Caenorhabditis elegans: one gene and its partner. The protein of the gene in region 2 purifies or fractionates together with the protein of the main gene of each other region. This does not show direct contact. Each region holds a gene or a part of one and is shown on either strand. Other genes may lie near its edges.

Evidence for each region.
Region 1: the proteins of ifet-1 (region 2) and oma-1 purify together in Caenorhabditis elegans (affinity purification with western blotting; 2 studies listed by BioGRID). This does not show direct contact.

What each region holds. Positions count from the first base shown.
Region 1 is NC_003282.8:8,876,993-8,892,878, reverse strand, and holds oma-1 (CCCH-type zinc finger protein oma-1), read right to left. Parts: upstream 3,904-15,886; 5' UTR 3,794-3,903; coding exon 3,756-3,793; intron 3,708-3,755; coding exon 3,540-3,707; intron 3,494-3,539; coding exon 3,263-3,493; intron 3,221-3,262; coding exon 3,073-3,220; intron 3,029-3,072; coding exon 2,797-3,028; intron 2,754-2,796; coding exon 2,347-2,753; 3' UTR 1,880-2,346; downstream 1-1,879. Other genes in the region: C27B7.2 (Phospholipid scramblase), read right to left, coding at 1-21; spr-2 (Suppressor of presenilin-2), read right to left, coding at 341-583, 633-833, 907-1,404; C09G9.5 (MARVEL domain-containing protein), read right to left, coding at 4,424-4,526, 4,581-4,680, 4,793-4,924, 4,976-5,083, 5,594-5,719, 6,279-6,309; C09G9.8 (TransThyretin-Related family domain), read right to left, coding at 10,916-10,993, 11,042-11,164, 11,309-11,395; npax-4 (Paired domain-containing protein), read left to right, coding at 13,054-13,159, 13,352-13,459, 13,503-13,677, 14,474-14,614, 15,190-15,268. UniProt on the Caenorhabditis elegans protein: Zinc-finger RNA-binding protein that binds to 5'-UA[AU]-3' motifs in the 3'-UTR of maternal mRNAs to suppress translation in oocytes and embryos.
Region 2 is NC_003281.10:4,466,278-4,483,870, forward strand, and holds ifet-1 (Translational repressor ifet-1), read right to left. Parts: upstream 8,874-17,593; 5' UTR 8,867-8,873; coding exon 8,694-8,866; intron 8,646-8,693; coding exon 8,455-8,645; intron 8,408-8,454; coding exon 8,304-8,407; intron 8,254-8,303; coding exon 8,168-8,253; intron 8,120-8,167; coding exon 8,010-8,119; intron 7,964-8,009; coding exon 7,124-7,963; intron 7,076-7,123; coding exon 6,528-7,075; intron 6,483-6,527; coding exon 6,402-6,482; intron 6,357-6,401; coding exon 6,287-6,356; intron 6,241-6,286; coding exon 6,158-6,240; 3' UTR 5,126-6,157; downstream 1-5,125. Other genes in the region: ndg-4 (Nose resistant-to-fluoxetine protein N-terminal domain-containing protein), read right to left, coding at 1-60, 253-343, 392-496, 858-1,098; mstr-2 (Ubiquitin-like domain-containing protein), read left to right, coding at 2,873-2,971, 3,019-3,221, 3,278-3,550, 3,631-3,751, 4,075-4,209, 4,257-4,451; rps-3A (Small ribosomal subunit protein eS1), read left to right, coding at 9,670-9,792, 9,838-10,233, 10,283-10,537; ins-17 (Insulin-like peptide 17), read right to left, coding at 10,820-10,998, 11,097-11,244. UniProt on the Caenorhabditis elegans protein: Involved in translational repression of multiple mRNAs in the distal gonad. Recruited to the 3' untranslated region (UTR) of zif-1 by oma-1 and is required for translational repression of zif-1.

The DNA of each region.
Region 1 (15,886 bases), on a different chromosome or scaffold from region 2:
GAAACGACATGTGAGCAACATCTGAAAAGAGGCGAATGAGCAAGTTAGTAGATTGAACTGTTCAAGAACTACGTGAAAAGGAAACTTCGCGGCCAATTACCATTTGTTTTGTAGGACTCTTAGACGGTATTCAATGCAGATCTTTCATTTGATTCGAATATACTTGGAATCATGTCAAAAACATATAGGAATACAATCAAGCTGAAGATAGAGCCGCAAAAATACTCGGCAGTGAATAAATACTTACAAAAACGGGATCGATTGATAAATGATAAAAATGACAATTATAACACACGGTGGGAATAATAAATTAGTATGCAACAAATTTCAGCTTCACAAGCTACTCTGCAGTGTTCTCGGGGTTGACTGCAACGTGTGCTTCAACATTCTCATCACCACCTTCTTCTTCAATTGCTCCATCCTCTTCTTCTTCTTCACCCTCCGCTTCTTCTTCAACACCATCTTCTTCTTCTTCTCCCATATCTTCCTCTTCTTCATCCTCTCCTTCTTGCCCATCCGCACTTTCATCTTGATCAACCTTCAGTGAATCACTTATGTTCCGACGAGGAATCCTTTGTCCATTCTGAAAATTGTTCAAAAATCCAGTAGCCTCATAATGGTGTTTCTAATACCTCATCTACACCGCGCTCCTCATTCAGAAAGTCTTCGATATCGTCTTCTTCAACTTCCTGCATGTCGGGCATCACGTAGTACTGCAAAGGATTGACGTACAGATCGTCTTTGATCACTTCAGCAATCTCATCACTGTCTGGTAGTGCTGCGTACGTGAGCCATTCAAGAAACGTGTGAGCTGAATCTCCGTCTTCCGGCTTCTGGAAGAGTTACATTGCGAAAGTTTTAGAAAAAATTCGATTAAAACAATAGGGATTATAAAGATAAACTCACGAATGGCGGTTTCTTGTTCTCCTTCCACTCGATTTCGGTAATTTCGGTGCTCGGTGACTCAGATTGCAGATGATACGACTTTGTAATTACTTCGTTTGTGAAGTACTCATTCGGGTCAAATGTCATAATTATTTTGAATCCACTGCGAAGATCTTCAAATTCTTGCACTTCAAGATCTCGCAGAGCGGCTAACAAGTCCTCTTGTTCTTCCGGAATAGCAGTTGAAAGAAGATGATGATTGAGAAAAGCAGTCTGCCAGAAATTGTCGATTTTTGTTGTCAGCTTCTTTCTTTTTTCATAAATCGGAAGACGTTTCTGATTGAAAATCTGCTCGACTTTCAAAACTTCTTCGGCAGCGTTTTCACTCATCACATCTAGTTGGTGCTGAATGGCGTCTAGTTCGATTAGCTTTTCCTTCACGGGACCAGCTACTTCGGATCGGAGATTTGGGAACTCATCGGCATTTTTCATTCGCTTTGCAGCCGGCTCTTCGCTCATATTTTAACTGAAAAAATTGAAGATTAACGGCAAAGAGAGCTTGTTTAGTAGAACAACAAAAGGCAGGGCGAGTTTGTAAAGCAAGTGTTCAACAGAATAAGCGCAAACGCACTGAAAATGCGCAAATAGTGTTGACTGGCGCATATTTTGAATAGAGCCTAGACACTTTTGATTTAATCAAGTGATTGATCAAGCTTACCCACAATTAACAGTTTTATAAATATCGACAATTTATGACCTAGTCAAGAACGCGAAGCTTAAAATTTAAAAAAATAAATGTATTATTATCGGTTAAACGGTTGGGAAAAAACTAATTAACATGCATGCATATAAAGTCTTTAAAACCGTAATGTTCTCATATTGAGAACAAAGCTAACTTGAATTGCAATATTATTTTGCTTTTTCATGGTACGTACTTAGATAGTTTTCGTGTTGGAACATATAACCTGATTTTCAATAAATTTGAAAATTGAATCGATCAAAAAAATTTACTACATCCTGCAATGAGGATCAAGAAGGAAATTTCGGATAAAAATTTTAAATGAACAAAGAAACGAAAGAAAAATACGTACGGGCAGTATCGGAGCCATTGAGAAGAAAGAAAGATAGAAAAAAAGAATCACAATTATGATCCGTGGCAGGTGCAATTTATTTTGAGATTGGGGAAGGGATTAGTGAGACAGAAGGCAATCGGGAACTCGAGCGGTGAAAATTGGAATACATTCAATGATTCGATGAATTACAATATACATCACAAGATTCGATATTAATTTCGAGAATTTAAAATGGGAATGGGCGCTTTTGACGATTGGGCCAAGTTTCTATGGGACAAGAACACGTCGACTAAAACTTATTATATTCACAAATGCACGCATTATTAGTTAGTATGGGGGACACGAATATTGAAAGTGTTTAAAAATTTGACAAATGTAGAGAAGTTGTTCACCACAAATTGAGATGCTTGGTCATATTTTCGGCCAATTGATCGAATCCTGGCATTGGAGAGAATGGTCCGTTACATGACATCATTGGATCAGTTGCGACAGATTTCATCAGAAGAGATTGAGCAACAGCAGAATTTGCGAAATATGCAGCAGCGGCAGCTGCGGATGCTGCATTGAGTGACGAAGAACTGAGATCCTGAGAAGGCGTGGATCCAGCAGATGAATATCCAGAAACTCCTCCAGGAGTATTTTGCTTTCCGAGCATTCCGAACGAGCCAGCATTTGGAGCGGAACCCAAAACCATCGAATCGAGTGGACTAGCTGGCCGATGTGCCATATTCCAAGCGTCTAGAGCAAACATCGATGGATCCAATGGCCAGCGAGACGGTGGATAGGTCATCGCACCTAAAACAGAGGTCATTAATTGCAACTAGCTGCCAATTTTTACCTTCCGCGTCATGCAATTCCTTCGTTGGTAGCTCATATCTTGGACCACGAGTACTAACAGGAGTTGGTCCTAGTGGCAATTTAGCCGCTGGCTCATCTGGAGTTGATGGCCTGGCAAACATTTCTAAAGGATGCTGAATGGCAGAAAGCGGGGGAGCTGCAATGCGACCATTAGTCATGATGTGCTGCTCCATTTGATCACGAATGTCAGCCAATGCATGGCGTTGAGAAACCTGAAAATGTTTACAGTGAGCAAAAATACATGTTTTCTTCTGACTTCAAGAAGTTTATCAGCGCGAATGTATGCGTTTGGTCCATGATCGGGATGAATGAAAAGGCACCGTTTCCCGTATGGGCAGAGTCCTGTAGTCGTATATTTGTCACAGAGTTTCGTTTTATACTTATTGTTCTGCAGCGGCTCGACGCTAAAAATTGGAATTAACATAATTTGTTTGCTTCATTCTTACAATGTTGGACGAAGTTCCTCCTCTCCATGTGCAAACCGGCAGTTGTCTGCGAAAGAACAAGTCTTAGATTCGAGCCAAGCTTGGCAGATCACAGTCTTGTATGATTCTGGTTTCTGCATTCGGGCTAATCCGCGGCGTCTAGGATCAAACTGTTGAAATGGAGGTGCAACCTGGTTGTTCTGGGGAAAACTCTGAATCGCGCGAACTTGCATCGATTGAATATGTTGGTTGCTGAAATGTAGTAAATTGAAGATATTCAGGAAATTAGCCAACGCACAATGCAATATCTTCAAGCAACTGCTTTTTGATAGCAATCAAGTTAGCAGTTTGAGTAACCAAATCTCCAATCTGGGCATTCGGATTAGTTTGAGACAAGTCCTTAGCGTGATCGAGTGGTGAAACGGGCAAAGTTGGAACGCCAGCGAGGGAGCTCTCGAGATGATGCCTTTAATAACATAAAATTACTTTTTCATTTGAATTTTGTTAAACTCACTCATCGATCTTCTCGTTGTTTTCACCGTTAACGTTCATATTGATGCAGTTGAGTGGATGTGAATAGTGTAAGTAATCGGGTGCAGGGAATGCTTAACAATCAACACCGGAGATACTCGATTTCCGGAAGATGTTGCGAGCTGTAAGTTCTGAAAAAGAAAATCAAATGATCCTACTGAAAAACAAAAACACGTTACATAAAACAATACTTGAGTGCGAACAAAACAGATACGAATGGCATTTATGAGAAAATATCACATTTTGGCGCCGGTGCACAATAAAAAAGTTTAAAAAAAAGTTTTTAATATAAATATGTCAGAATTTCCGGCCGAAAAGTAATATTTGAAACAAGGAATACTCAAGAAAAGCCTGAAAAATGGTTCCTTCATATTACGCGGGGGCATAAACTACGGTCGCACTGTTTTCACGTGTGCGATTTAAAATGATGTGCGTCTTTTAGGAGTACTGTAGGCCAAAAGTTTTCACGCCTATAACTGCTTGTAGTGAACTGATATGTTATTATAATCAAACAATTTATGCACTAATTTAAGTTAAAAAAAAACATATTTATTTTTTACAATCAAAAAATTATAGCGACAAACCCGTGTGAAAAATCAGGAATCTTTAAAAAAAATGAATGGTTGAAAATATCAATTAGAAACTTCAAGTTCATCTTCGATTGAAAAGGTACAACCTTCGAACATCAATATACGTCCAAATATACGAATAGATGAAGAATATTTCAAATGCACCAAATACCAGCAATGCAACTCTGAAATTGATAAAATAGTATACCCTAGGTTTCCTTTTTTTTTCAAAATCCCACCTTAATAAAATAATATCAACAATTTTATAACTCCGATCTTGTCCATTAACCTCTTCTCTAATTTCATCAGGAACTGTGATTGTCGATCCGATTACCGCTCCTGTAATCTCTCTTTTTCCAATTAAAAACTGTCAAATTTGGTCGTCCGGTTCACAATCTCTCAATATTTGCGAAACTGATTAAAACCACACCGAAAAAAAAACTTCGCTCACCAGCATATGCAAAAAACAGAATCGTATTCAAAACCATATATGGTAGTAAAAATTTGGGTCTCGCACGGAAAACTGCCATAATAAACATTAAACTGAAGGTGAGGATCATGGTGATAAGTATGGAGCAGATTACTGAAAAATCCATATTTCTAAATAATTCAGATTAAATTTATTTAACTGTACCAATAAATTCAACATAATTCTTCGGTGTTTTTTGAATCAATCTTATTAATCCATAAACGTAAAATGCAAATAAGAAAATTGCATTGAAACTGATTCCAAATATTGCAACTGAAAACATATTTTTTAATATAAATTTTTCATCGACTCCCTTAACATTCTTGTTACCCTGTTTTTTATAAATAAATAATCCATCGAAAAAAATAGCCTTGTTATTTATTTTGTGATCAGTATTTTTAGGTTTGATAACACTTGTAAAACAAACAAAACAAAAATGTAAACAATTTTATAATGATTCTCATGTTATTTTTGTTTTCAATTTTTCTATTATTAAGAGATAAGCTTTAATGTGTCAAAAATCAAATAAAAAAGAGAGAAATAATGCCTGCCTGCCTTCACCTCGCGCGCCTTCTGTACACGCAAACGTTGTTTCTTTCATTTGTTAATTTAACTTTCATCAAATAAGATGATAAAATAAAGATAATTGTGTAAATTAACACTGTGAGAACAAAATAAGTACATAAGATATGAAAAAGTAGGCAGGCATAGGTAGGCGTGTGGGAACCTAGAAAATAATCCCACTTTCTCTCGAATTAATTAATAAAAACTTCTCAAACTAACTTTTATGAACACCAAAATATCCACAAAGCTTCGTTGGTTTAGGCGCTGTTGGCATTGAAAAATAATTTTGATCCGTTGATAATTTATCAGAAATTGTAGACATTGTGATGAAAGTGTTGGAAACTTCTGCAAATTTCAGGAATTGAATAAAAAAAATAAATAGGAGGCTACAAATCACTGTATTTGTTTCAATGATTATGATACGAACCTATTTAAGTGAATTTTTTTGAACTTTTGCGGAAAAGGGAAATGGTCTGATAATGCATATTTTTGTGGTGATAATTTTGAAGAAACTTTGATCGGTAACATTTTTTGCATAGATGAAAGTCGAAGAACAAGAACAATTCTCAATATAAATTTAAGTGGGAAATCTTTAAAGCACAGGAAACCTGGGAGCAAAAAAGTGAAGAAATGGCAATATATGCATATTTTGATAATTTCATGTATACACTATGATAGACAATTTAAATTTGAATTAGAAAAGTTCGTGACTATAGTTACTGACTTTTCTATACTGCGCTAAAGTTTCCAAGTGGACTCTCCACGATTTCGCTCTACTTTTCTGCTTCTTACTAATATAACTGATCAGAAAGTCTTTAAAAAATAATTCAAACTTGTATTCAAACTCTTTCTCGTTTTACAGATTTTTTTATAATTTTGAGACAATCAAAGGATAAAGACAAACCTTTCTTTTTAAGATCCCGTTTTGTTTTCATAATTTCAGATAGAATTGTTTACGAAAACAGGATGAAGATTATCTGAAAAATTACATTATATTCAAAAAAAGAAAATTAACTAAGTAAGACAAAGTATTTTAGTAACCAAGAAAAACTTTTTCACGAACAAAACAAATGGCAGCTGTCTGAGATAATCGGTGAAACAAAATCTCTCAAATATTGGCTAATCTTAAAATTACTACTGGAAAGTATGTCAAACTACTTTTTCCAAATGAAACCTCTTTCAGTCAAAAAAGGAGGAGCCACATGTCCATTTTTACCATTAAATGTTTGCGTATCGAAAACTTAATCGGCCCGAACCGAGACACTATGAGGTCAACATGTGATGATGAGAGAGAGAGAGTATGGATCAAGGTATTATATAGAAAAAATACTGAAAGAATGCGGGGAAAATGAGTCATGATAAATACTAAAATAAGTTAAATATCGTTTTGAAAATATCAAGAGTTCTAGAGGAATAAAGTAAATTGAAAAATTCATAGTATAGTTTTCAAAAGATAAATTCCTAACATTGAAAAAACTTAAATTTTTCAAAAATCCGAAATTTGATCTTTAATTTCAAAATACTTCGTAACAACCCATGCCTTTAATTAATAAAAGCTTGGCAGATGCGACATCTTAAATTTTTTTAAATTTTGCGTTTTTGCTTGAATTATTCGTTTTTGAAAGCAATACAATTTTAAAATGTTAAAAAAAATCATTAAAAGAACCCAAAAACGCATAACATTTTCCTGATAAAGTTTATTTTCAAAAAAAAATTATATAAACTTTTTCATTTTCTCGTAACTTTTTGAACTAATACCATTTGAACTCTTCATGATCTTCAAAAAGTCTTCACTCATTTTTTTTCTCATCTGTGCCGTCCCCAATTTTCCTGCTCTATTTATTTTCGTCAATCCCAAAATCAAATCAAACCAAAATCAATCAACGAGAGTACAAATAGATGGACAAGATGGTTACGGAATCGAAAAATGAGAGAAAATATATAAAAGAAATGCTCGGATATTGCGCATTTTTTTGTGGGAAAAATGAATTCTAATCACATGAAACTTGAGAAAATATGAAAAAGTATAAGAAGTATAAGAATTTTGAATGATATCACTTATTTATAAAGTTGTTGTTTCAAATGTGTATTTTCAATCAACTGTTAATCAAAAAATAATCAAAAATTACTAACTGATAAAATATTGATATTTCTAAAATGAATTGGTATAAATATATGATTCCAACGTTAACATTTGGATTATTGAAAATATGGGATAAATTGGCCTCTCAAGTAGTAAAATGTTTTTTTAAATTTAAAAAATGGTTGATTATTTCTTCATTCAAAAATAAAAATTACTGAAAGTAAAAGTTTCAAAAACCATAGCAACAAAAAATCAAGTCATGCAAATAATGAAAATATCAACGAAATTCTTTAATTTCCACTTGAAACAGTAAATTGAATAGAAATTTCTCTGAACATGTTTTATGATATTTAAGTGGCTAATTTTATAAAATGGATGTATCATGAAGCAGATTAAAAATATCATACCGAAATGATTGGCTTGCGAAAAAAGTGAGTTCCTGACCTATTTCGGTTTGAAAGGCATTTTCTTCGAAAAATGTTTGCTCTGGAGTGATTATCTTGCTCTGTTTACATATCAGTGTTCACCATAGTGAGAAAAATGAAATGAAGTGTATATTGGACATATTATAACGAAACTTTTGAATAGGTTTTTTCAGATAAAAAAAATGACAACCACTTAGTTTTCAGCTACATATCACAATTTTGGAAGTCGGCCAATTTTTGACAAATATTATATTCCAATTACGTTTGATTTTTTGGTGAACAGTTTAGGAATAAACCCTACAGTAAAATTGTTGACTTGTTATAAATTACACACAAAGTCCAATAATTTAGAAAATTTGATTGAATACAAAAATTTTGGTTGATTTTCAAGTATAAATAATTGAAACATAATTAGAATATTAAAAACACATTTTTAGCTGACACTCAAAATTATGATAAGTGAAGTTTGAGCTTACTTCGCCCAATAAATAATTCCAGCTAAAACAAAAAAGGCATCTTGTTTTCCACAGAAGTCAGAATGAAAAGCAATTCATCTCGAAACATTTTTGTTTGCTCAATCATATCTTCGTCATCATAAAAATTTTACAATGGGTGCGGAAAGGGAGCGGAGGTACATGATACATGCAGAATTGTGAGAAAACTAAACTATGATTATTTATCTTCAATGCTCCATGATGCTCTACTGCATCTCTGCCTCTTCGTGTACAAACAAACGACTCAATCTTTACTTTTTCAAATGGAAAACACTGTCTCGCAACTTCAAAATATTTTTTTTATGAATTGGACTTTTCATGGAAATATACAATTTAAATTTTTTGGGAATTTAATCATGTGTCAGTGTTGTAAAAGATGCCTGTTAAAAATACTCGTTTTCAAAAATCTTGTTTTTTTTCTAAAAAGCTGCTTGGAAGTTTTAAAAAGTTGAGTGACAAATCACGAATACTCCAAAGAAACACACAAAAAAAAACTGAACAAAAAAGAAACATCGAAATAAACATACGTAGTTTAATCCTTTTTATATAAACCGTCTCATGACCTCTTTCTAAGAGTTTGGAATGTTTTTTGCTTGAGGTAAAAAAAACTTAAATGTTACATAAAATTGAGGTCTAGGACAACACTCAAAATATAAAGTGCGAACTTTCACCTATGTGATTTTTTTTTCAATGTATCGTGCTCGATCAGATTAGTATGCAGAAAAAGGCAGAGGCAAAAATAGCCGAAAAGGTTGAAACCAAAATATGGGCGGGACCCTTTATTACTTTTCTGAAAACTTTCCGCTTTTTTTCATACAAGTTTTTTTTTCGTTTGGAACAAATGTGTTTCTTCAGATTGATACATATATTTTCAACATTAATTTTAGAAATAATAGATCCCGGCCATATCTCGGTTGAATTTTCGTTTCTGCGTACAACCTTCTTACTTCTCGGCACTTTTTTTCAGAATTTTCTTCGTATCCTTACCGGGTGAGTAGAACAAAAAACACGAGTATTTAGCTTTTGGAAGGGAATATCAGGAATGTTTTCTAGAATCGAATGGAATATAATAATATTATTTGTAATGTATATTTTGTAAGGAATTGACTTCTCAAATAGATGTGGCTTATCAGTAGAATTTAATGGGTTTCTAAAGTTCAACAAAATATGGTGGTGATCTAGATAAAACGACTTCCGCCCTCCAAAATAATATCACCTGAAAAAGGAACCGGAAATTAGAAAAAAAGTAGAATAGTAATTTTTTAATGCGGATATCTGAGTGAAACTGATATTTGATTCTGGATCGGCAAACTTTTCTGGTTCTTGTGTATTAAATAAAAATTTCATTCATTTGTTAAATTTTGTCAATTTTTATTTAGAAAAAGAAATGTTTCCTCATTAGGCTTTGAAATGATTATTTCCTCATTTTAAGACTAACTATAAGAATACTAAGACGTTTATATTTTTCATAACTTGACAATTTTGATTTTAAACTGCTTTCCGATCATACACAAGAACCGTTTTTTAATGCATTTATGCGAGGTTCAGTTTTCAAAAAGAAGGAAGTTATCATAAAGTTAAGAAATCTAAAAAAGAATAATACTTCATCTGTTTCTTATCGATAAACATGCCATTCACTGTTTTTCCATCTAATATTTGACAAAAATTTCAGCTTCAAACCCTGTTTTTTTGAGCCACACCCACACAAGGAAATTTAACAATTTGTGAGTAACCACATTGATGACATCGCCTACATGATTGTACTTGTGGCACTGACCAATGAAACTAAAAAGAATACAAAAAAGTCTGAAATATTTGAATGAGGAAATTGGAGTTGAACTGAACTATTTTGTATTTGTTTTTGAATCAAAAGTGAAGTGAGTGAACGATATTGTCACCCCCCAACCCTCAGTGAGATAAGTGGTTTTCCGAAGTGAATCCACTTATAGTGACCATTCACAGAGACACTAAATAAGCATCAATCATTTTGTATTGTAGAATAGTAGACGGTGATTTCATTTCACTGTTTATTTTAAAACAGACGTGAAATGATAATACCCAAATGGACTAATGAAAATGGTAATCTGCTCTTATCTGCTCTTATTAAGATCACTGGAAGTTGCGGACGAACTGCTGAAAGAAATAGTAAAAAGAAAGTTAAAAAAAACTAGTAAAACGAAAAGCATTTTCCAACTTACTATGCCATATGATCTTCTGGTGTAACATCCTATGACTCTCCAAAACAATGACGGTATGGTCTCTCTATTCAACAGAGATATTGGCAGCACCGACTGGAGTTGATTTCAGCATCTGCAATTTTGCCCCTGATAAGTTTGATAACCCAGTTTCACTACTTGAAACCCTTCTAGATTTCCACTGTCCACACAAAGGCAATGAGTCAATGAGAAAGAGGTAGGCGAATAGCGAGGGTAGGCAATGATTTTGGAGTCAGTGGGTATTTTCCTCAAAATTAAAAGCTATAGTTCTCTTGTTTACACGGTTTATTTCCAATCAATTCTCAATTAGAACGCTTTTTAAATTATATTACTGTAACAGAAACTGCGGGTCCTAGAACTGCGTAAGGTAAGCCATTTGAACTCCTCCCGTATATGTATTTCTGAAAAATAAATTTGACAAATTTGAAAAGTTAATTAAACAAACTCACAGTTGGGTACTCTGAGTATAGACCAATATCTGCGGCCGTAAACTTTTTGATAACAAGGAATCCATTCAAGATTTCATAATTAGAAGAATCAACTATGTTTCCGGCTTCATCAACAAATGATCCCTTGAATTTACCGTCAAAATGATAAATTTGATTTCCTCGGTTCATTTTCCTAATGAGAGACTTAGCGCCTTTTTAGAAATTCATTTCAACTCTCTCACCCATCTTAATAACATTTATTGGCTAAAACATTGGACTTAACCTAACCTTCACTTTCATTCCGAATAGAGATGCTTCAGAGCAGGTGAAATAAATGACAATTATAAAAAGAAACGTGACAATAATTTTGTTCATCGTCTGCAAAAAACACAATTTTGAAATAGTAGAGAAGTGTTTAAGGTTTCAAGATCTTCAAACAATAAATGGTGAAATTCTGAAGAAATCGATGATTTTTAAATGTTTGCAAATGTGAAACGTCAATGACTTCGTCACATCATAGCGATGAGTCAATTTTCAATTCAATTGTTCTCTGGTTTGGTGGTAGGTGGGACAATTCTAAATGCCTTAACTTAAAAAAACAAAAATATAATATAATAAAACATTTTTGGTATTGTTGCGAAAGTAGGGGAAAAAAGTAGCACTGGATAAATATTTCTATACAACTAGCCATGCCTTGATGCCAAATATCTATACAAAAAGTTTTAAAATTTCCTGATTACCGTATTTACTCTATTGGTATTGCACCCAATTGTTCAACATTCTCATTTGTCGTGGGTCCTACAAAAATTGTTAATTGACAAAATGTCTGCCATTTCTTTTTCTCTCGGTGCAATACTATTCAAGAAAATCGGCGTTTATTTATGTTCTCTATTTCTATTAGCCCTTGTCAAAGAAGTTTACAGATAACGTGCCATTGTGTCTACTGCAACTATCAAGTCACTTCGAATTGTTCGATCTATCAATCAGTTTCACACTTTTCTTTCAATGTTCCGCTCATCAATTCATCATCTACACTGTAATCATAAGTATCATTATGGGATATTTTGATAGGACCTTTGAACCCCTTACTGCAACAAAAAAGTTCTCTAACAGTGATTAATGATGTTCCAATCAAGTGCGAAATTCGGCACCTTTTCAATTTTTCAGTGATTTTGTGTGCTTCAATTTGAAACTATTTTGATTAGTTTCACTGATTAAACCGCACTTTTTCTCTTTGAAAAAACCGCTACTTGCAAGAATAATAGATGTCTCGAAGTGCCGACAAAAGAAAAATGATGATGATTCGCACTTTCCGACGTGTCTTCAGGTGTGTGACCAATTTGTCATGTTCCTTTGCCGCTATCAACAATATCTTTCACACCTATCCGATACACAAAAAGGTTCTGATTGGATAAGGAGACATTAAACAAATCAGAGTAATTTGTGAAAAACTTGTTATAGTTGTGAAATCTTCCAAAAAAAAAAGGTTCAACATCTAGCTGCAGAGAAGCGCACAGAGAATAGTATAGAAACGTTTCAAATAATTATTTCTAAAAGTTATGAGCTTCATTTTTATTGCTCTAAAAATAGGTAATCATGTATCAATAATGAAACCCGTTGAAAGCACAAAAAATACACTTCATTACCCGCTCCATTCCTTATACACCTTCACATTTCTGGCAATCCTGAACGATAATTAATAATTCTTACAATACACCTGATCATCATTTGTCACCTACTCGTCGTTTTCTTCATTCCGGCGGCAAATTACAAAGGGATTGCCGCCACGCTTCTTCTTCCCACTTCCTCTCATTTCCGATCCGTCTAACAGATATCATCATCAGGCCGTTCTTCTCATCTTCCAATGCTGCTTTACACGACTACCGTATCCTTGAACCTAAAAAACAAGAAAAGAGGCGGAGCGTAAAGGTCTAAACCGATGGGGGTCAAGAAACCGTATTACTTGACAACAAGGTGGATTCGACTTAATTCAACATTTTCTCACAATTTTATCATCATAATTCTGTCAAAAAATGATGTCGCCATCAATATTTCCACCGATCAACTTCCTTTTTCAAAACTCTGCTCTGCTCTCTAGCTTTGCTGCACAAAAAGCTTTGTCAAATGGTCATCCATCAGGTGAGATTTCTAGAATCATCTACAGTCTTAGTGTTTTTTTCAAACGATTTCCGGCTATAAGCGTTTAAAACTTAATTTCTAGGAATACAAAGATCGGTTTAGAACAAGAACATTTTATCGGCAAAACTGCACACTCAAATTGAAAATTTGACTCTCTTTTTCCCATGTTTTATATTCAAAAAAGTGTTTCAGGTTCGTCACTTGCTGCATTGGAAAAACTATCAAAAGCGTTCCGGCGACCGGATCTTCATATTGAAAAGCTTGCTTCGTCATGCATTGATAAGCAAAAGGATTTGAAAAGTTTGTTCAAGAACGTTATGCTTTACAAGATTATTTATTACAGTGACCAATGTGGTCCCATCACGAAATCGATATGGTCGGCCATACATCTCTGGGCGACCACTTCTAACTTGTGATAGGCAGAAAATTGTGGAATGTTATAAGAAGGGAATGAAGAAGATTCATATTGCTAAACAATTAGGGATCACTCACAGCTGTGTGAGTAAGGTTTTAAGAAGGTGAGAACCATTCGTTTTGTTGCTGTTAGTCTAATTCTGTGCCAGTTTTAAAACAACAAAATGTACATCCAGAAATGAGGATTCATTCTAAAGGTGAAACTTTTTCAAATTGTGTTTATGATTTTGGACAATTTTCATTACTTTCGCATTTAGTGCCTCATGTACGAAGAAAAATTAGTTTGTGCTCATGCGAAAGGCTTAGTTTCGTAGAGGAAATGGGAAATTTAGGACTGTTGGGAAAACTGCCGCAATTCTACATTTTCAAACTTGATGTTTCTTTAAAAAATGTTTGCAGGTTTCAAAAATAGTTTTCTGCTTCACTTATCCACCTAAAACTTTAACATATCTGGGCCATTCGTCCCCACGCCTGACAATCAATGTTCACCTACCTACACTACCTACAGTAATCCCGAGTCGGGATTCCCGACATCAATATGCTAACCACTCCATGTCCATACGGGCGCCCTTAAGGTGTCACTCGTCCTTCTCGTCCACCTTCCGCGCACACTTCCAAATTTACTACTAATCGCGCTAAATCAAATAGAAATGTGATGATTTATGCGGACTTTGATATGTTCCCTCATCCGGCCAGTTAAATCTTAAGATTATATCGCCGAACATTAAAAAAAACTGTAGATTTCTGAATTGGAGGTTTCAAGAAAATTATGTTGAAATAGCAAAACGATGGACATGGTGGGAAATGTTGGCTCTTTTGACGGGATATCAAGTGTAAAAAAATTATTATTCATCGCCTTTGCATTATGATACTGTTATGAGTATAAATATGTTTATTTAGGTACGCTGAAACTGGTGAAATAGTTGCAAAAGCATGCCGAACAGCTTCTTGTTCCTGTCCTGGATCTGCAGAAGAACATGATGCACGGTATTGCAAACATCTTCAGGATAACACTATTCGATTATTTTTCTCGATTGAAAAGTAAGTGGTTCTTTTTGTCGATTTATTAATATTATGATAACTAAAATTTTCTGAAAATTTACCAGTAATAAATGAAAAAAAAAACAAACCAAAATAGTCAAACTAATCGCATAAATCAATACAATTATTTTACAGCCTTTTTTTAATTTAGAATGGGGATAAAACATTTTTGAGATTTTTTCCATGATTCAAATTTGAAATTGTGCTTCTCGGAATCTGTTGAGGTTATTAGAGACAAACAAATTTTGATGGTCCACCATTAAAGTTTGAACAAATTTAACATAAATATAGTACGCATACTGGTTGGCAAGAAAACTCGTTACATCCTAGAATGCATCACGGATAGAACGATTCACAAGCTAATCCTCAATCATAAAATAGGAAGACCATACTCTATGTCTTAAGTGAGTTTACAACTTCCAATGCCTCACTCTTTTTATTGCCTGGATATTTTGCGAGACAATGAACCTACTAGACTGCACAACGGATTAAAAAAAAAAATACCGTTCATGGCATTCAACATTACTTATTTATTAATATATTTATTTAAATATTAATTTCTGTGGGATTTTCAGCCTTCTTCGGAATGAGTCAACATCCTCACGTATCATCTATTTCTCAAAGCCGCCATCATATTCAACACTTGAAATTTGAATTATCAACTTTCAAATGCCCAATGACGTTCACTTTGGAAATAAGTCAGAGATTTTAAGTTAATAATATTGTCATATACTTGGAAATGGATTATCAAAGTTTTAATATTACCACTATTGTTTTATCATCGTATGATTTCTCGCAAAATATGTGATTGATTTCTTTGTCCGGTTATCGTTTTTTTCCTGGTTGTCGGAGTTTTACATAAAATTATTTAAAAATATTCTGTTTTTCCAAAGACAGAGAGTCAAACAGTAACACTGATATTTTCAAACGAAAGTCTTAGATCTAAATTTTCATATCTATAGACTGAAATAGTTGAAAATATTTGAAAAAAGGTGAAAAAAAGTGTACAAAAAGTGGGAAGCACAGAAAACAGTGAATCCACTATTTTTTGGGCTTCCCACCTTCCGTCCACTCTTTGCCACTTTCCTACCATCTCTTTGCCACCTTTCTACCACCTTTTTCCCGCCTAGTTATCACCATTTTTCTAATTCCGGCAAAAAATGGACAAAGGAGGCAGTGATAGATGAAACCAGGCTACACTAGACAAAAGCCCATATTTAGATTAGGCCACCAAAAAAAAATCACTTCAAACTATTTATTCACAGAACTTTT
Region 2 (17,593 bases):
ACTCCAGCGTCTGGAACTTCCATTTCAATACGACAATATTGACCGTCAAATGATCCATCGCTGTAAAAAAAGTTTCAAAAACGAACAAAAGTTTGATTTGGCTATGAAAGTCATAAATTCAAAATACTTTTCGGAAATTCGCCAAACAAATTTCTTTAACTTTGAAAATAATTATAGGCATAATTTGGAAAATGTAAATTTTGTCGAGAGCTCGAAAAATTTTTGAAATTAAAACTTAAGGATTTCACTAACCTTGCAAGTGCGGCACAAAGTTCATAATCTCCGAGCCAATAGTAATTTCCATCAGTGATACCTGCAGCAGGTTTTCCCAGTGAATCAAACCCTGGAAATTATTTTAATTCAATATTTTTATATTATGAAAGTTTCATACACTTGAGTACCCATCCGTTATTAGCTTTTTGATAAGCACATTTTGAGCATTGTTCTTGCTCACTCAACGATTTATTGGCAATTGATTGACATCCTCCGAAGGTGTCTGAAACTCATAGGAATGTAAATAGACATTCGATTTATCTCGAAGCAAAAGAAACAGAGATGTTTCCTAAAAAGTCAAAAAAATCCTGCCTCATCCCCGCCTGCCTACGAGCCTGCCTGCCTCCTATTAAATTATATAATACCGAACAAATTTTAACAGCGCCTGTCTGTCTACCTACAAAATGGCTTACTTGTGCCTACAAACATGCCCAATGCCAATGTACATATTATTTCAGGTAGGCTTGAAGACGTGCCTGCCTGCCTAAAATTTCTGTTAGATTACTAACCACTCCGTTATCCACAGATTTCAAAAGCTTATTGGAAAATCTTTGGATACAAAAAAAAACCCTTTTTTACCCTACCTGTCCATCTATCCGCTGAGCAGAAAATTTTTTCAAATTGCTTTTTACACGAATCCATCACTGGTAATTCCTTCGAAGCATTGCAAAACTTTGGCATTTTCTCCAAATCCAAATTCTTTCCACCTAGTTTTGGAAGCTTGTACTGATCCAATGGTCTTGGTCGTGGCGGAGTACGAAAATGGCACAATGTGCAAGAAAGAGCCAGTTGGCACAGTGCCAAGGTGATGAGGAACGTCCTCATCTCTGAAAAACACAAAAAAATCTATTGAAAAGAATTAAAGAAAATGTTTCAATTAAAATGGCAACCACTTGACACTTTCACTTGTGAATGTGTTTCAGTGTTCCCAATAAAAATGAGAGAAAAAAAGACGGAGAAATGACAAATTTGATAAGAATCTCTGTTCTTTTTTATTTTCTTTTTTTCGATTAATGATTAGTGTTCGGAAATTGCACGTCGTTTGTTCATTAGCGGTAGAGGCGACACAGGGCGCCTCTTCCAGCCCTCTTAGCGCCCTTATGTGGAATTTCTAATGAAAATAGTTTTCAAATGAGAAATTTGAAGATTTTAATAGGCAAAGAATAGATTTTAATCAAAAATAATTTTAGATATACACCTAGAACTCCTAGGAAATCTTCGAAATTTCTAAAACAACGAAATTCAAATACTAGACTATAATTTGTTTTATAATGTGTGAAATTGAAGGCAACGTTGTTCTTGTTCTTGAATGAGAAGAAAGTTTATTGACTGATATAATTTGATAAGAATTTGATTGGCATTCAAGTGATTTTTTTCAAAATAATGGAGAGGAATAAGACAGATTTGCAAAGTGGAATTTTTGGAGAAAAAGGTTCAGATCGTTGTAATATAATATACAGTAGCCGGTCTCGACACGATCGAAAGTTGTAAAGAAGAGTGTGCGCTTTCAAGAAAGATTTCAAACTTTTGTTGCTGCGGGATATTTATAGTTTTTTCATAGTTTTTTGATAAAAAATAATTTTAATTGATTTATTCATTTAAAACTTGAATAGGACAAAAACACGCGTATTTCAATTCAAAAAAAATCGTGAAACAACTATGAAAAATCGAAAAAAAAATTCTGCAGCAATAAGAGTTTAAAATTACAGTAGTCTTTAAAGGCGCATGCCTTTTTGTAACCGTATTTTTGGTACGCTTGGGGGTCATAAATGCAGAGTGTGTAATTGTGATAAATCAATCAAAAACTGAAAAACAATTTCCAAAACATTGTTATGAATCATTCTTTTTTTTTCAGCGAAAAAAAATCAATGTTTCCTTTCTCAGTCCTAGAACAGCTTGACATTCATTGATTAAAAATTATATAAAAAAGCGAAAATCGTCTGTAAAAGTGTCATTCTGCACATTGCGCCGAATTAGAATAGAATGATAGTGTATAACATTCAAATGTCTAACTGTATGCGTATCCGAATCTCTGCCACAATTGTTATCATTACAGATTGTGACAGTGTTAAAGTGCATGAAACGATAATTTGGAGACAAATTGAATAGGAACTTGAGGGATTAAAAGTTAAAGAAGTTAACTTTTTGCAGAAGGAAGAAATCAATAAAAAAGCAAAATGACAAAATATTTGTTTCGGGAACAGTTCTTTCCTCTTTTACCATACCAAATGAGGGAACAAGAGGTCATTCATGACCAAGTCACTGTTTTTAACTGATGAGACGCAGACATTTACATCCTCCGTGTTAATGGGATTGCCAATTGACCTATCGCAATAATTAGTACATGTGTTAACTCTTCTTTCGGTGATATTTATGTGATAATGAAAGAACTCCGCCACTTTTCAATTTAATTCTCTCAATGTGGCATAGAAACAGAAAAATATTAAACTCAATTTTTTTTAAAGAATTCACGTAAAACAATTTTTTAAAACATTCACGTTTACGGTAAAAAGTTGTATTTAAAAACAATCGATTTCACTTTTTCTGTCATTCCCAAGTTTGTTCGGATAATCGATAAACCAGATCATCAAAGCATATCATGGATCCATCAAGTGAAAACAATTCGCCAATGGTATCTCCAAACGATGATAAAATTGTGAAAATTACTGTAAGCAGTGTGATGCAAGGAGTTAAACAGGTATGTATTCGCGAAATTTGAGTGAAAAGAATCAGCTCTTTTTATAGATTGTGGTGGAAATGAAAGATAAAGAAACAGTTAGCATTCTCAAAAATCGAATTGAACAAGAAACCGAGGTTTTGACCAATCGACAGGTTTTGCTTTTCAAAGGAATGGAGCTCAAGGATAATAACAAAACAATGACTGATTGTGGAATTAATTCTGATGCAAAAATCACGATGAATGTTAAAATGAGCACAGGAATTGTTACGTAAGTGAACCCAAAAAAGGACACAAAAAATGCTGATAATAATGTCTGAATTTCAGCAATCCTACTACAACTGACATTTTACTCATGATGCCACCAATTTTCCCAACTAACCAAGACCAACTGAGAAAGGAGATCAAAGGAATGCATACGGTACATCGTAAACCAAAGAAGATGAGTGGCATAGATGCAAATGCAAGTCTTTGGACACCGGAGAAGCAAATGGAAAATGAGTTCACTAGAAATCGAATGAAAACTTTGCTTCGCCGTAAGAAACACGCACCAATCTTGTCTGGAACACCGGTTGATTCTGAAATCGGATCTGCGCAAACGTGAGTTTTTGGAATGTTTCTCTGAAATACCGTGAAACGCTTGAATATTCAAAAAGCAGTTTTATACAAAGTAATTCCAGATTCTCGCCGGTTGCAACTCCTCCCGGAGAGTTGTCTTCGCCGTCTACAGTTTCATCTCATGTCAGCTCTGGAAGTGAACCGGAAAGTGATGCCGAGGTTGTTACCGAAAAAGAACTCAAGGTAATATGCCAGTTAAGCAGCAGACATTTGGCGGCATTATCCAGAAGGTGTGCGCCTTTAACATGTACAGTAACCCGCTCAAGTTATTTTACTATTTTCAAACACTCAAATGTGTGAAAGTATTTTTTAAATTTTCGGGAGGACTAATCAAGTTAGAAATTGCATATTTTCCCAAAAATAACGAGGAGTGGGTTACTGTACTTTTTAAAGACGCGCACTTATTTTTTTCTGCTTCGATTAAAAATTTCTGAAAAGTTTATTAGTGGCAAGAGTTTTGCGTGAAAAATATGAAATCTACGAAGATTTATTTTATTATATTACAGCTCTTCTTCGATCCACCTGAAACAATTGAGGAACACAAACAATGCCGCCGTTCGATGGTTCTTGCTCCGAGCAGCGAAGAAGAATTGCTTGAGAACTTGAAAAAATTCGAAGCGGAGAGAAAGACCAAGTGTAATGTAAGTGTTTCTATTGTATTTGAAATCAAAATAAAATCAAATTTCAGACTTGTTTCAAGAAGCTCTCCGCAGCTCAACAGACCATGCATTGCAAGTGTCTTAGAATCTTCTGTGATCGTCATCGTCATCCAAAGAATCATACATGTGTGATTGACTACAAGCAGGATGGACGGAACAAATTGAAGAAGAATAACTCGAAAGTTGGAGATGGCGGATGGAGAAAAGCCAAGTTTGAATCATAGGAAAAGAAGAATTAGGAATTAGAAGAACTCGGTTTTTACAAAATGAAAGAAATATGATTTTGAATGAATTAGTTTACTCGATTTTAAACATGAATCAATTCCACTAAAGACTTTATCTTGAAAATAACATTTGAATCATGGTTTCAGCAAAAACTTTCGACCACGGCAGGACTCGAACCTGCAATCCCCAGATTCGAAGTCTGGTGCCTTATCCATTAGGCCACGCGGCCACGAGAGCAGCACACCTCGAAAGGATATCAAATAGCAGGCACCACACTCCAACAGTCAACGCTCTCTCGGTGTTGTCTCTTAATGGTTAAGCAATTCGGCGTCTTGTAAATTTATAACTTATTTCTGGAATTTTTTATAAACTAGACTCCGAGATTCCTTGCATCAAATGCGACTCTTGGTTCTGGCACGACAGAAACTTTTCAACTACCGTACCTGTGAATACGGTAGGCTTATTAGTTTTTGCAACTTTCACAGGTTTTTCTTTCTTTTCTTGAAATAGTTTTAAATTCAAAAATATTTAACAACTAGGAAACGAAGAAACATCAATTATATTTAAATAGAAACCTAGACATATGTATTCAAACCCAGAATTCGGAAAAGGTTTAGTCGAGTCTTGCTAGTTCACTTTCCTTCTGTATTCGCCATGTATTGCAAAACCAAAAATTTAAAATCTTCTTCAATTATTCATTTTATCCAAATCCAAATCCATCTTATAGAACACATCACCTCTCATTTCTAAAATAAAAACGAAAAATGTGTCTACAAAAAACTGTTTGGAATGGTGAACTGCTTATGAAAAACGTGGCACAACATGGGAGGTGCACAAAAGGAGACAAAAAATAATGAGAACAAGAGTGGACGAGATCCAACAAAATGTGGACACCAAACTTGTACAAGTACAAAAACGTTTTAGGGACAATCTGATGTAAAATTGAGTGGGAGATGGAATTGAAAATGAGTGTACCCTTATAAAACTTTTCGCATTTTCGAGAGATCCTCTACGCATCCGACGGGATGCAAGAAATTCTCTACGAAGGTGTTTATACAAACTTTCCGAAGGGATTTGGGTAGATGTGAGGGGAAGAACAAGTGAAAAACCAGCTTACAAGAAAAGGGGAGGAAGAGAGAACAGTGTGTTCTAAAAGGCGGTAGGTTGGGGGAAAAGAAGTGAAATCATTGAGAATGGAGTTCTGATGAACTAAAAATGCAAATCATTCTGAATTCACTGAAGTTCGCTTTACAATCTATCGAGGTTCACTCGAGCAGCGGGGACCAATATATAAACACGTCGAAGATGCGTCAATATAACAAAACTTGGAACATAATTAGAAAAGTAAAAATTAAAAAAAAGGAAACAAACTTATTATGGGGCATTACGGAAACTATCAAGGGATCACCAACAAAGGTTGTGGGGGGACACCCCGCTGTTTTTTTCGATTTCAGTGAAATGCCGAACAACAAAAAACCGAAGAAAATAGCGACGGTAAAGCGAAATTTTGATGGGACACGAGGGAGAAAAGGACCAGAAAGAGATGGGATTATATGAACAAGAGAGAAGAAAAAAATAATACGAATACATGACTATGTGTACCCGCTTGGTGGATGGTAAGCGATAAACATGGTTGAATATATGTGAAGGTAGGAAAAACAAAAAAAAAGTTGCTATTATGAACTAGGGAATTAAACCCATATTTCTACTTTGGAACAGCTGTTAACTGTTTCTCGAGATCTTCCAGAGACATTGGACGGACCGACGATGGAATTCGATCTCCGGACCCTGAAAAAGTTAAATTAGCAAAAAATTAGAAAATTTTAGCACGAACCAGTGAATTGAGATCCCTGAACTCCAACCGATGCCAGCAGCTTCTCAAGCGGAGTTTGAATTGGCCCGACCTGCAAATTGGATATACTAATAGGCAAACGTTTCGATTTAAGCACCTGTGACAGCTCGGATGGAACCACAGGTTGGTGTTGTTGCTGATTATGACTGGGTCCCTGTCTCTCTTGCATGTTAGCCATCTAAAATTGAAAATATAATTTTGTATTGATTTAAAAAACGAGTACCTGGGCTTGCTGTTGTTGCATTTGAGCTATCTTTGCCATCAACATGTGCTGTTGTTGAGCACGGGACATCATCATCTTGAGGTGCTGCATTTGAGCTTGCTGGTGTTGAGCCATCAGCATTTGAACATTTGGTGGAAGTTGCTGCTGTGGATGTTGCTGTTGTCCGTTAACAACGCCGTTTCCGCGTGCCCATCCGACTCCAGAATTCATTGCCTGCACCATATTGGCATAGTTCTGCTGCATGTGCAATTTCTTCAGTTGGTTCATGGCATCAGATTGATTATGAGCGTCGGAAGTCTCTTGGTTGCTCTCTGGCGGGCTCTGACTCGTCTTTTCTTTCTTCTGATCAGCATTTGAGGAGCTCTTCTGCAATTGCCGCTGCACAGACGCAGGTATCATAGCAGGAGTGCGACCTTTGTGTTGATGATGCTGTTGTTGTTGCTGATGCTGCTGGATGTTCTGATGCTGTTGTTGAAGACTAACGAAAGTGAGAGTCTGAGACTGTAGGAAAGCCTTGTTACGCATGGATGCCATACGAAGTTGCTCATCTGAAAAATAATTCAATCATGAAATGTATTCAAAAATGCTTAACATACGAAGCTGTGGTGGAAGCTGCTGCCCATTGTTTGCACGAATTGCAGCATTGACTGCTTCTTGAAGTTGATTCTCGACATAGGCATTCAAAATCACTGGATTCTGTGCGAAGCTTGCAAGAAGGCTTGGATCTGCGATAATTTGCATTCCAGGATGAACCATAGGGTGATGCAAATGTTGTTGATGCTGTGGACCTCCATTTGGTGGTGTTGGTTGTCTATGATGATGTATGTGCTGACCAGACTCTGCTTGCTGTTTGGCGAATTTTTGCAGATGTTGCAGAAGTTGTGCTTGTTGTGATGGATCTTGCAATGGACTGACTTTTGAAGGTTCCTTTGACTCCATGCCTTTCTCCAAATCTTCCAACCGCATTCCTCCTTTTATATCACCAGCTCCAGAAGATGAAGCGTTGTTATCACCACCACTATGACCGAAAAGTCTTGCAAGCATTGGATTAGCCACGTTTTCATCGTTTCCGCCTCCAACTGACGAAAGCATAGCGTCCAATTCAGGGGACTTGTTCTTCTTTGCGAAGAACCGACTGAGACGACTAGTTCCTCCAGCAGTTTCCTCACTCTTGTGCGCCCAAGCCATATCGTCGCCATCGATCTTTCTTGATGTTTTTTGAATGTCAAGACATCCCAGAAGAGCCGCGAGTTCCTGATCCGTAGCCGGAAGAGCTCCTCCTCCCGAAGAAGAATAAGCAATTGCTGGATCGTCAATAGGTTCAGAAGTCTTGAGACCAGTTGATGACGGACGGGATCCAACGCACTCCACTGGCTCCGGAGCTTTCACAGCTTCTTTCTCCTTCTTTTCCTTTGGATTCTTTTTGTTCTTCACTTCTGAAAAGAATAACATTATAAAATAAATAGGAGACATTAGGAATACTTTTTGGTTCATCAAATCCGCGCAACTCAATCATATCGTCCATTGTAGTGGGACCGTCAGCCCATTCTGGCAGCTTCTCACTTCCGCTCAAGCTCGTAAGGCGTTCCTCTCTGAATTAGAAATATCAGCATTATTTTTAGCTACTACTCAATACTAACCTCCGTGGTGCGAATTTTGCCCCTCGTGTCGTATCCTTTTTCCATTCGGCTCCACGAGTACCACGTTCAAGCTGGTTACCTTTCTGCTGAAAAATGTTTGGTAAAACATGAAACATTATATTTTGAAACTGCGTACGAAGGATGGTTTGAAGTCATTTCCTCTCGAAGCAAATTTATCGGCACCACCGGTACTTCCGTTTCTCCAGTTCTTTCCATGCCCTCCCAATCTTTCGTACTCTCCTGAAAAATAAAGTTTATGATCAAACTCGTATTTCCAAGCTGATTACCGTCACGTCCTTTGTCGTCTGTTGGTGCTTTGCAGCCACTGCTAAATGCTCTCCGTTGTGGAGACAAACCCGTATTTTCATCAGCGCCAGCGCATAACGAATCAATTTTTTTCGACATCGGACGATTTTTAATTCCTTCGATTTCCCAACGGTGTTCAAGCCATTTCAAAGGAGAAAACTTACCATCTTCGCTGAAATTGTATTTTATGCAATTATATTTTGCGTACTGTACCACTAACCCATTGAAATCTTCTGAGAGGTTTTCAGGCCTCGTCATGCTTGCTTTGGTAGTTCTCAGTTCCATCATTCGTTCTCTGGTGTACGCTTTGAACGGTACCGTCGGAAGTGTGCCCCCTCCGAGAAGGGTTGAGACCATTGGGTGTAGGCCTTCGTCGTCTAGATGACTAGTCATATTTACACTGAAAAATCGAATGTCTATGATTAGTTATTCAACAATTAGCATTAAAATCCATCGCAGTCAGAAAAGAAGAGAATGCCAGCTGCGCAAGAACAACGTATCGCAATCGAGTTTATATCGATTTTTTGTTATGTCTAACTAAAAAAACGAAGCATAGCGATTTACCGCGCAGAAACTTATTTTGGCGACCAAAATTGATAAGAAGCAACTGAAAACCCATTAGAGCTGGAAAATACATAAAAGTTCTGGCGCTGCGCACATCTTCAAAAATTTAGCGCCAAAATTTGAATGGATTTGGTTTTGGCCTATTAATTTCCGATTAACGAGAGGTATGACAACTATTATAGCTGAAATGGCAGCTGAAAATGAGACGAATTGCATGCTTTAATTTTATTTTCGCATAATCTGGAAAGACGTCTGAAATAAGCGTAAGAACGAATGAAAACGGGTCTGTTTGAGAGAAGATGTCTCTCACGCGCTGTGACTACGGTAATACGCATTGTGGAGCGTCATGCGGAGTGTATGGCATACACTTGCGACGCAACTCGAGAATTGCAAATTTTAGGACTTTTCCGTGCCTTCTTTTTCCGTTTCCCTCCTATTTTTTCAGCAATTTTTGAAAAAAAATCAATTTTTCAAACAGTTATCCGTTTATTCAAGTGTTTATTAATATCTTATTGCAAACTCATGTGTCGAGTGGAAAATTCCGTCGAATTTTTAGCTTATACTCTCAATTTGTACTGTTAAATTATGTATTCCTATTTTCAGACACAGCTTGGCATCAATCCGCTTCAATCATGGCGGTCGGAAAGAACAATAACAAGATGGGAAAGAAGGGAGGTAAGAAGAAGGCCGTGGATCCATTCTCCCGCAAGGAATGGTACGACATCAAGGCCCCAAACATGTTCAACACCCGCCAGGTAACGTTTTATTTTGTTTTATAATTCTATAAATGCTATTTTCAGGTTGGAAAGACCCTTATCAACAGAACCCAAGGAACTAAGATCGCTTCCGAAGGACTTAAGGGACGTGTCTTCGAGGTTTCACTCGGAGACTTGAACAACTCTGAGGCCGACTTCAGAAAGTTCAAGCTCATCGCTGAAGATGTCCAGGGAAAGAACGTTCTCACCAACTTCCACGCTATGTCGATGACCCACGATAAGTTGTGCTCCATCGTCAAGAAGTGGCATACTCTCATCGAGGCCAACACCGCCGTCAAGACCACTGATGGATACACTCTCCGTGTCTTCGTTATCGCCTTCACCAAGAAGTCCGTCAACCAAGTCAAGAAGACTTCCTACACCAAGACATCCAAGATCCGCAAGATCCGTTCCGAGATGATCGGATGCATCGAAAAGGAGGTATGTAGCAAAAAATAACTAATGAAAGAAAACAAATTTTTTATTGCAGGTCACCGGATGCGACCTTAAGGAGGTTGTCAGCAAGCTCATCCCAGATTCCATCGGAAAAGATATTGAGAAGACCTGCTCCAAGCTCTACCCACTCCAAGAAGTCTACATCCGTAAGGTCAAGATCATCAAGAGACCAAAGGTTGATCTTGGACGTCTTCACGACTTGCACGGAGACTCCATCACCGTTGGAGCCGACGGTGAGAAGGTTGATCGCCCAGACGACTACGAGCCACCAGTCCAACAAGAAGTTTAAGTCTTATAATTTCATTGTTATGTCGCATTGCGATAAATGTTAAAATTAAAAAACTTCAAAAGTAACATACATCATATATATCTGAAAAATACAACTCAATTTTGTTAACGAAATATTTATGAGATCTAAACCCAACAAGCATGATTGGTGTGGACATACGGGATGGGATTGAGAGTGTCAAGCTGGCGCACGGTAGAACAAGATGATGGAAGATTCAGAGAAAAGAATTAGAAAATTGTTTTATTTGGAGTTCCAGTAAAGCGAGGGTAAAGTAGATCGTTTTTATCCAAAAGGATTGCAGATTGCGAAAATGTCAGTGAATTCACATCCCGTCTCACAGCACATATTCATTGTCCGTCCCAAAAGGCTGCCACCGCCGTCGTTGTAGTTTTCTGAAACACTCCTGCGTCGACGGCGCATTGGGCAAATCAAGTTGAAAGCGTCAAGGAATGAGGCACCACCTGTAAAATAACGACTTTAGACATTGAATTCCTAGAAATTAGAGTTATTTTTTGAATCAAAAAGCTAACTTCTTTCTATAATTCCTAAAATGAATTACCTGGTGGGCATAATTTCAGCGAACCGTGTTTGGCACGTGGTGGTCGGATAGTGTCCCGAGTGATTGGAGCCGGTCTAGAAAACAGCCCGAATGCGGCTACAGCAGCCATCAAAGACAGTAAAAGGAGTACCCCTCTGGTCGAGAACATTTGGATCACAGATACTCGCTTATGCCAACCGCGAGAAGCGAGTAACCGATTCTGAAATTAAAGATTTTTATTAAATTTTAGTTTTTAGAATTATAAGTAATTGAGAATTGTAGCATAACTAGATCCAGAAAAGTATTGTACGTATTTAAAGAATTTTGCAAAATGGGCGGAGTTTGAACACAGATGACAGCGGGAAATTGAATTTTTTAGACTTGAGCTTTTCGAACACTTAAAGCTGTTGTTGTTTCTCACATGAAATTCTTCTCCCACAATGCAAAGAGAAGCGTTAATTTCCGGGTTGGCGGATCCATTTTTAAAATGTCTTAATCGAAAACTTGTGAACGTGAACGAATTTTTGGATGAAAAAAGAAAAAAAAGAAAGGAGAGAGAGAGAATTTTCAAAGCAAAAAAATACAACTTTTTCGTCCGTCTTCAGTGTTTTTAAACACAGAATAGAGAGTTGATTAGATGCCGGATGACCAACACGTCATCTCTACAATTTTTTTTTCAAATCTCTTTTTAACCTAGTTTTTGATGTTAAAAAGCGAAGAAAAATAATGAAAATTTCAGATGTTTCAGGTTCAGAAGAAACTTTACTGCCGGATATTAACAGTTATTTTATTAATTTTCATAGTTTTTCCTATTATGGAGACGTAGAAAATTTCATTTTTTTAAATGGAGATGCAAGCGCGCTCCAATACCAAAGTAAAGTTGTTCGTGATTTTTTGTTATTTTCTTTCCGAAATTGATGAAATAAATTAAAATGAATTGTAAAAATTATTTCGGCGTAAAATCATTGAAAACAGAGGAAAGTATAAGAAAAATACGAAAAATGTATGACAATTAACAAAATTTTGAATTCATGGCTTTGTCGCCAAATACCTAACGAGACCCAGCTGTTAGAGGCGGAGCGTTTTGATTTGGCGTTAGAGCGCATTTGCATATTGTGTTCAAAATGCATTTTTAATGTGAATTTTGTGTTTCTACGATACCTAAATTGTGAACTACTAGAGAAAAAAGGAGGCGATTTACAAAATTTTTTCTGAAAATTCCGTAGAATTTTCTGAAGAAAAGCACTAAGAAATCCTTGAAATAAAAAAAAACGCAAGGACGTCATGATTTCCGAAGAGACCAAATAATAATAATTTCCCATGAGTTGCTTGTTTTTGCGTCCTGTTCATTAATGATTCTTGCGATCTCGATTGGTGCGGAAGTTTCATGGGAACATAGATCAAATGTTTTCAAATGTTCAAATAATTCCAGTGCACATTTTACACAATAATTTTGGAAAAGTTCTAAACTTTTTGAAAAATTGTAAAACAAGAAAACATAAAAGTAAAGTGAAAACTGGTGGGAAACTTGCATCTCGTTTATTATATACAAGCACTGTTTCTATGGCTTTTGTCGTAAAAGTTTTCAAAAGTTTTTCTGACAACTTTATGTGAATTTAGTAGTCGTTGGCAACATGGACACGTGGATTTATACTTTTTTTGTAAGCATGGAAGTTTTGTCACATAAGTGGGAAAATTTTTCAGAACTGCAGTAATTCGTCAATTACCAAAAGGTTACCAATGGAAATGAAAGCACAGAGATCGAAGTAATCCAAAAAATAATTTCACGAAATCGTACATTTTTGACATTTTCCGAAAATCCCTAGACGTCGAAAATCTCAAGAAAATCTTTGGGATCTTTATTTAAATTTTTCAGATTAAAAAAAATGTACCACGGGCTTTCAAACTCTATAATTTATAAAACGGAAAAATGTCCGCCCCTGTGTCTACAGGGTGGGCCAAAAGTATGGTAACACATGAAGCGCTCTTTTACATGAGCTTTTTGCGCGACGGCCACGTCATACGTACATTCTTCTATCGAATACTGATAGCTGAATAAATTTCCTTCAATTTGACTCAAAATTTGTAATGTTTCCCAATAAGGTGCGATCTTTATCACCTCGACAATTTGGCGAACCCTTTCGAAAAAACGGTGATTTGGCACGCGGCACTTCCCACACAAACACACCTCCCACGCACGCCAATAATTTTGAGATGTATGATTTTTATGTTAAATTTAAAGTTAAAGAAGTGAAGAAGCGTTTTTAATTGTTTTTGTAGCATATAAAAATTTTCTCTGTCGACACTGGCGCCTAGCAAGAACCTTTGAATATTTCATGAATTCAACTTTGCGAAATTGACTCAGTTTTTTTGGTTTCGCAAGGCGTAACGACCCACAAAATCATCCGAGCTCAATTTTCTAAAAAACTTCTGGAAAGTCAGGTCAAAACGTCTCGAAAAATACTAAAATGAATTTTTCTGCATACTGCTACTCGCCGCTCACATCCATCTTTCTGGCGACTATGACATTCAAGACTTAACCTACTGCCGCAGTCCATGACAGAAATACCGTGATAGAAATTATTTGGATTTTTGTTTTTAAAGAATCTCTAGACCAAGAGCATTCTTTGAACTATAAAAACTTGTAAGACACTTGATGGATTCCTCGAGAAAAATGTAGAAATCTCGCAGAATGCCGACTTGCGTGCCATAAAGGTCGTGATCTCAAAAGTTCTGAAGGCCTGCAGCGATGCGGATGGGAATATTTTGAAAATTCAAAACGTTCATCTGGTCAGTATTTTATGGAGAACAAAACTTGTACAAATTGATGTAATAACTCTCTCCACTAGTAAAGTTATAGAGCTGCAAACGTGTTACCATACTTTTGGCCCACCCTGTATTTACGCAGCTCGTGTACTCTCTGAGAAGAAGTTGTAATTTAAATTTTGATAGGATTTTACAGTTTTCTTAATAAAGTTTTTGATTTTTAACATTTTATATACTGCTTCAGAGAAAGTTCTATATATATTTTTCGGAAAACTACTGGAAAAATATTCCTGTTGAAACATTTTTGGTATTTTTAAAATTTTAAATGTATCGATTTGCACCGAAAGCCGAGAATCAAAATACAATTTTAATATTAAATACAAAAATCGCTAAGAAAAATGCTTCAAAGTGAAGAATTTTAGTAAAAAACTGAATACCCTGTGAAAAATAAATACACACTTCTCCTCGGGGAGTACACTAGCTCCGTAAATCGACACAGGGCCGAACGTATGACGTCATGCAAGTTTTCAATAAAATGTAGTGTATAGATTTGCGTTATAGTGTTTGCACAGTTCAATGGAGCGCCCTTTCTTGACAGAAAATATTTGAAATTCATTTTTCAAAATTGAAACTGAGTCATCAGAACAATGCGGAAAGAAAATGAGACTAATAGCCACTTACGACGTGTTCCCAGTCAAAAGAAAAATGTGAAAACAAGAAGAAAACTGGGTAGGCGGAGTAGGAGAAGGAAATATTCAATTTTTTGTTATACTTGTGCAAAGTGGACGTCCGGAGAAGGAAAATGTAATCGAAAAGTTTCGTTTTCTTGGCAAAATACAATTTTTATTGTTGTTGTTCCACATCAATTTTTCTCATCATATGGTACAACTTTTTCAAATTGAGGAGGATATGACATCACTTGGAAAAAGTTCAATTCGAGCATCTGACGGCACAAAAATTGTTTTTTTTTACTGAAAAAAATTTGGCAAAGATAAACTAGAATCGATCTGAAGTAAACATTTTTTCGAGAAATGTATAGAAATTTCATATGTTTGAAAAATATTTAGAATACAACTTACAGAAAAAACATATTTTGGCAGGCTAAAAACATTTCAAAAAATTATTTCAGAAGTTTTACTATGATATGCTGATATTTTAAACCATGGAAATATGTTCAAGTAATGTGCACAGTGATCATAATAGATGCCTAGAGAAGTTTACAGTTTATTTCAAATAGATCTTGCGACTATTTGTAGTTTTCCGAACATTTTTTTATTATTTTCAATAAAGGAGCGAAAACTTAGTTTTCACTTATCATAATTCTGGAAGTCGACCAAAAAAATGCTCTACGATTTTTTTTTAATTGATTACGTTTCCATTGTTTGTATTCAAAAACTGTAGGGGTTCGAACCTCTAGATTTCATTCAAAAAATCACTTTTTGTAAAATTTGGCAGTTTACCAAAATTGACTGAAAATTTTTAAAAATCTAAATATTTTTGCTCCGCATTAAAAAACAACGAACTCTCCAAAAAATCCAAAATTGTATCATAAACTTTTTCCTCGCAGCGATACTGAATAAATATTTTTGCGTTTGTGTTAAAAGTACAAAGTTACGATTTTTGGTTAAGTTCTTGGAAAATTTATTGTTTGATTTAGATTTGATTATACTATTTTCTCTTTTAAAAGAAAATTATGCTTCCTGGTATTAATCTAACTTTTATACTTTTAGAGAACTGGACTTTTTGGACAAAACAATTTTATTTTCCAAAAAAAAAAAAGATTCTGAGTAAATATAATTTTTGGTGATCTTTTTTGTTGCAAAATACAAAAAATTACGTCATATTCAAAAATTCCGGGATAAATAGAAATATGAGCTAATGTGGGAACATAACTCAGTTTGAAATGTAGTCTTGCAGATTGTGGTTGTGCAAATTTTAAAATATGACGTCATATCGTTTTAAAAACGGTAAAACTATTTGAATTTATTTATTTTATTTATTTATTTATTTATTTATTTAATACGATTCCATACGAATCGTGTCATAAGAGAAAATAATACACATAAAATCAAATACATATTACAATAAATCAATAATTTCAAAACAAACTTTGTTTAAAAAAACATCTAAAACTCGAGTTCTTGTTTTTTTTGCTCATAAAACGAAAAAATTATTTTTCAGCTATCTAAATAAGTGATTATTTTTTAAAATTAAAGGCTTTTTTTTCAATAAAAACCTTTAATTCTTTAGGAAATTCCAGAAAAAAACTTAAAAACTGGAACTTGTAGAAGTTGCCAGAAATCAAGACGCTCTCAAACTAAATTAGAGCTCAAGTTGTCTAGACCGTCTAGACCTATTTGCAATTTATTAAAGCATCAGAAAATCTTTTTCAAAGTTTGAAATAATGAATAAAGTTAGAAGTATTGTGCCAAGTGGCGCTTTATTTATTTTTTCTAAGAAAATGAGAGATTTAACGAGTCAGCAACAAATGAGATGTATACCCAAAATCTTATTCTCGGGTTCTGCGGCGAACAAAACAACTACAGAACCTATAGTTTTCAATTTGTTAAAACATTTTAAAGTGGTTTGAACAATTTTTAACTAAAAAAAACAAAAAAAATTGATGAAAACGGGAAAATAAAAGAGATACTGTAGTTGGAAAGTTTTAGCCGTGGTAGGACCAATTTTATTATATTTTCTCAATATATTCTATGTCACAAACACCGAATTCAGAAGAAAACAGTCCTTACAAAGGGAAAATTCGTCATTCTAAGAAAATTAGGATACAAAATAGGATAACTCAAAGTGTGAAGATGAAGAATATGATGAGGGAGAATAAAGAAAGGAAACATGAATATTTAATAAGAGAAAATTAAATAAAAAAGGTTTAAATTGTCTTTATAAGTGAGTAAAAGTGGAAAAAGCTTCAACTTCTTCGTCTTCTTCTTGAGTTTCTTCAAAGTTAGAGTCTTCTAATTGGAGCTCAACGCGCATCCGTTTGAAGCTCTCTCAAGCATCCGCCAATTTACAACAAAGAGAGATGCCCGCGCTATCTGGGATGGGAAGAAATAGTGTTGGATTGAGAGAGACGCAGACAAGATCAGATGACGTGACAATGTGAATAGACAAATGATTACAGTAGGGGTTAGAGGCAGAGAAACTCAGGAAAAACTAACTGAATCACTTCCTGAATTACAAATTTTATTTCTCATCTTTTATTTTTTGCTGCTTTGCCGCCTTTTTTGTTGATATTTTAGAGATTTTTCAAGCATATATTAGCTCCCAAGGGAAATTTGAAACGTTCGATTAAAATCTAGGATCACGGAGCATTATTTTTGCACGTTCTTTAGAATGAAAAAGTACAAAAATAACTAGATTCTGATTGAACATTGATAATCTGAAATTCATTCGTTTAGGGCATTATAAAATTTTTAAAAGCTAGAAGCCTCGCTAAATTGCATATTTTCAAACTGGCGTATCTTGAAAAATTATCTTGAAAAAAAAACAAATTGATCAAAAATATTTTTTCTTTTTTCAGCAAAGATTTCATTACAAAATACAAGTTACATGTTGAGTTTCACAGAGTCAAAGACATGTTACCAAAAGTCACCAAAAACTTGCAGAACTTTTTTATTGTATCTGTCGTAACCCAATATCTATTGAAATTCGGAACAAGAATTTTGTTGAACAGTGATTGAAAAATATTTGGCAACATTTTATCAATTTTAGGTTTTTTGATATTTCCATGTTTA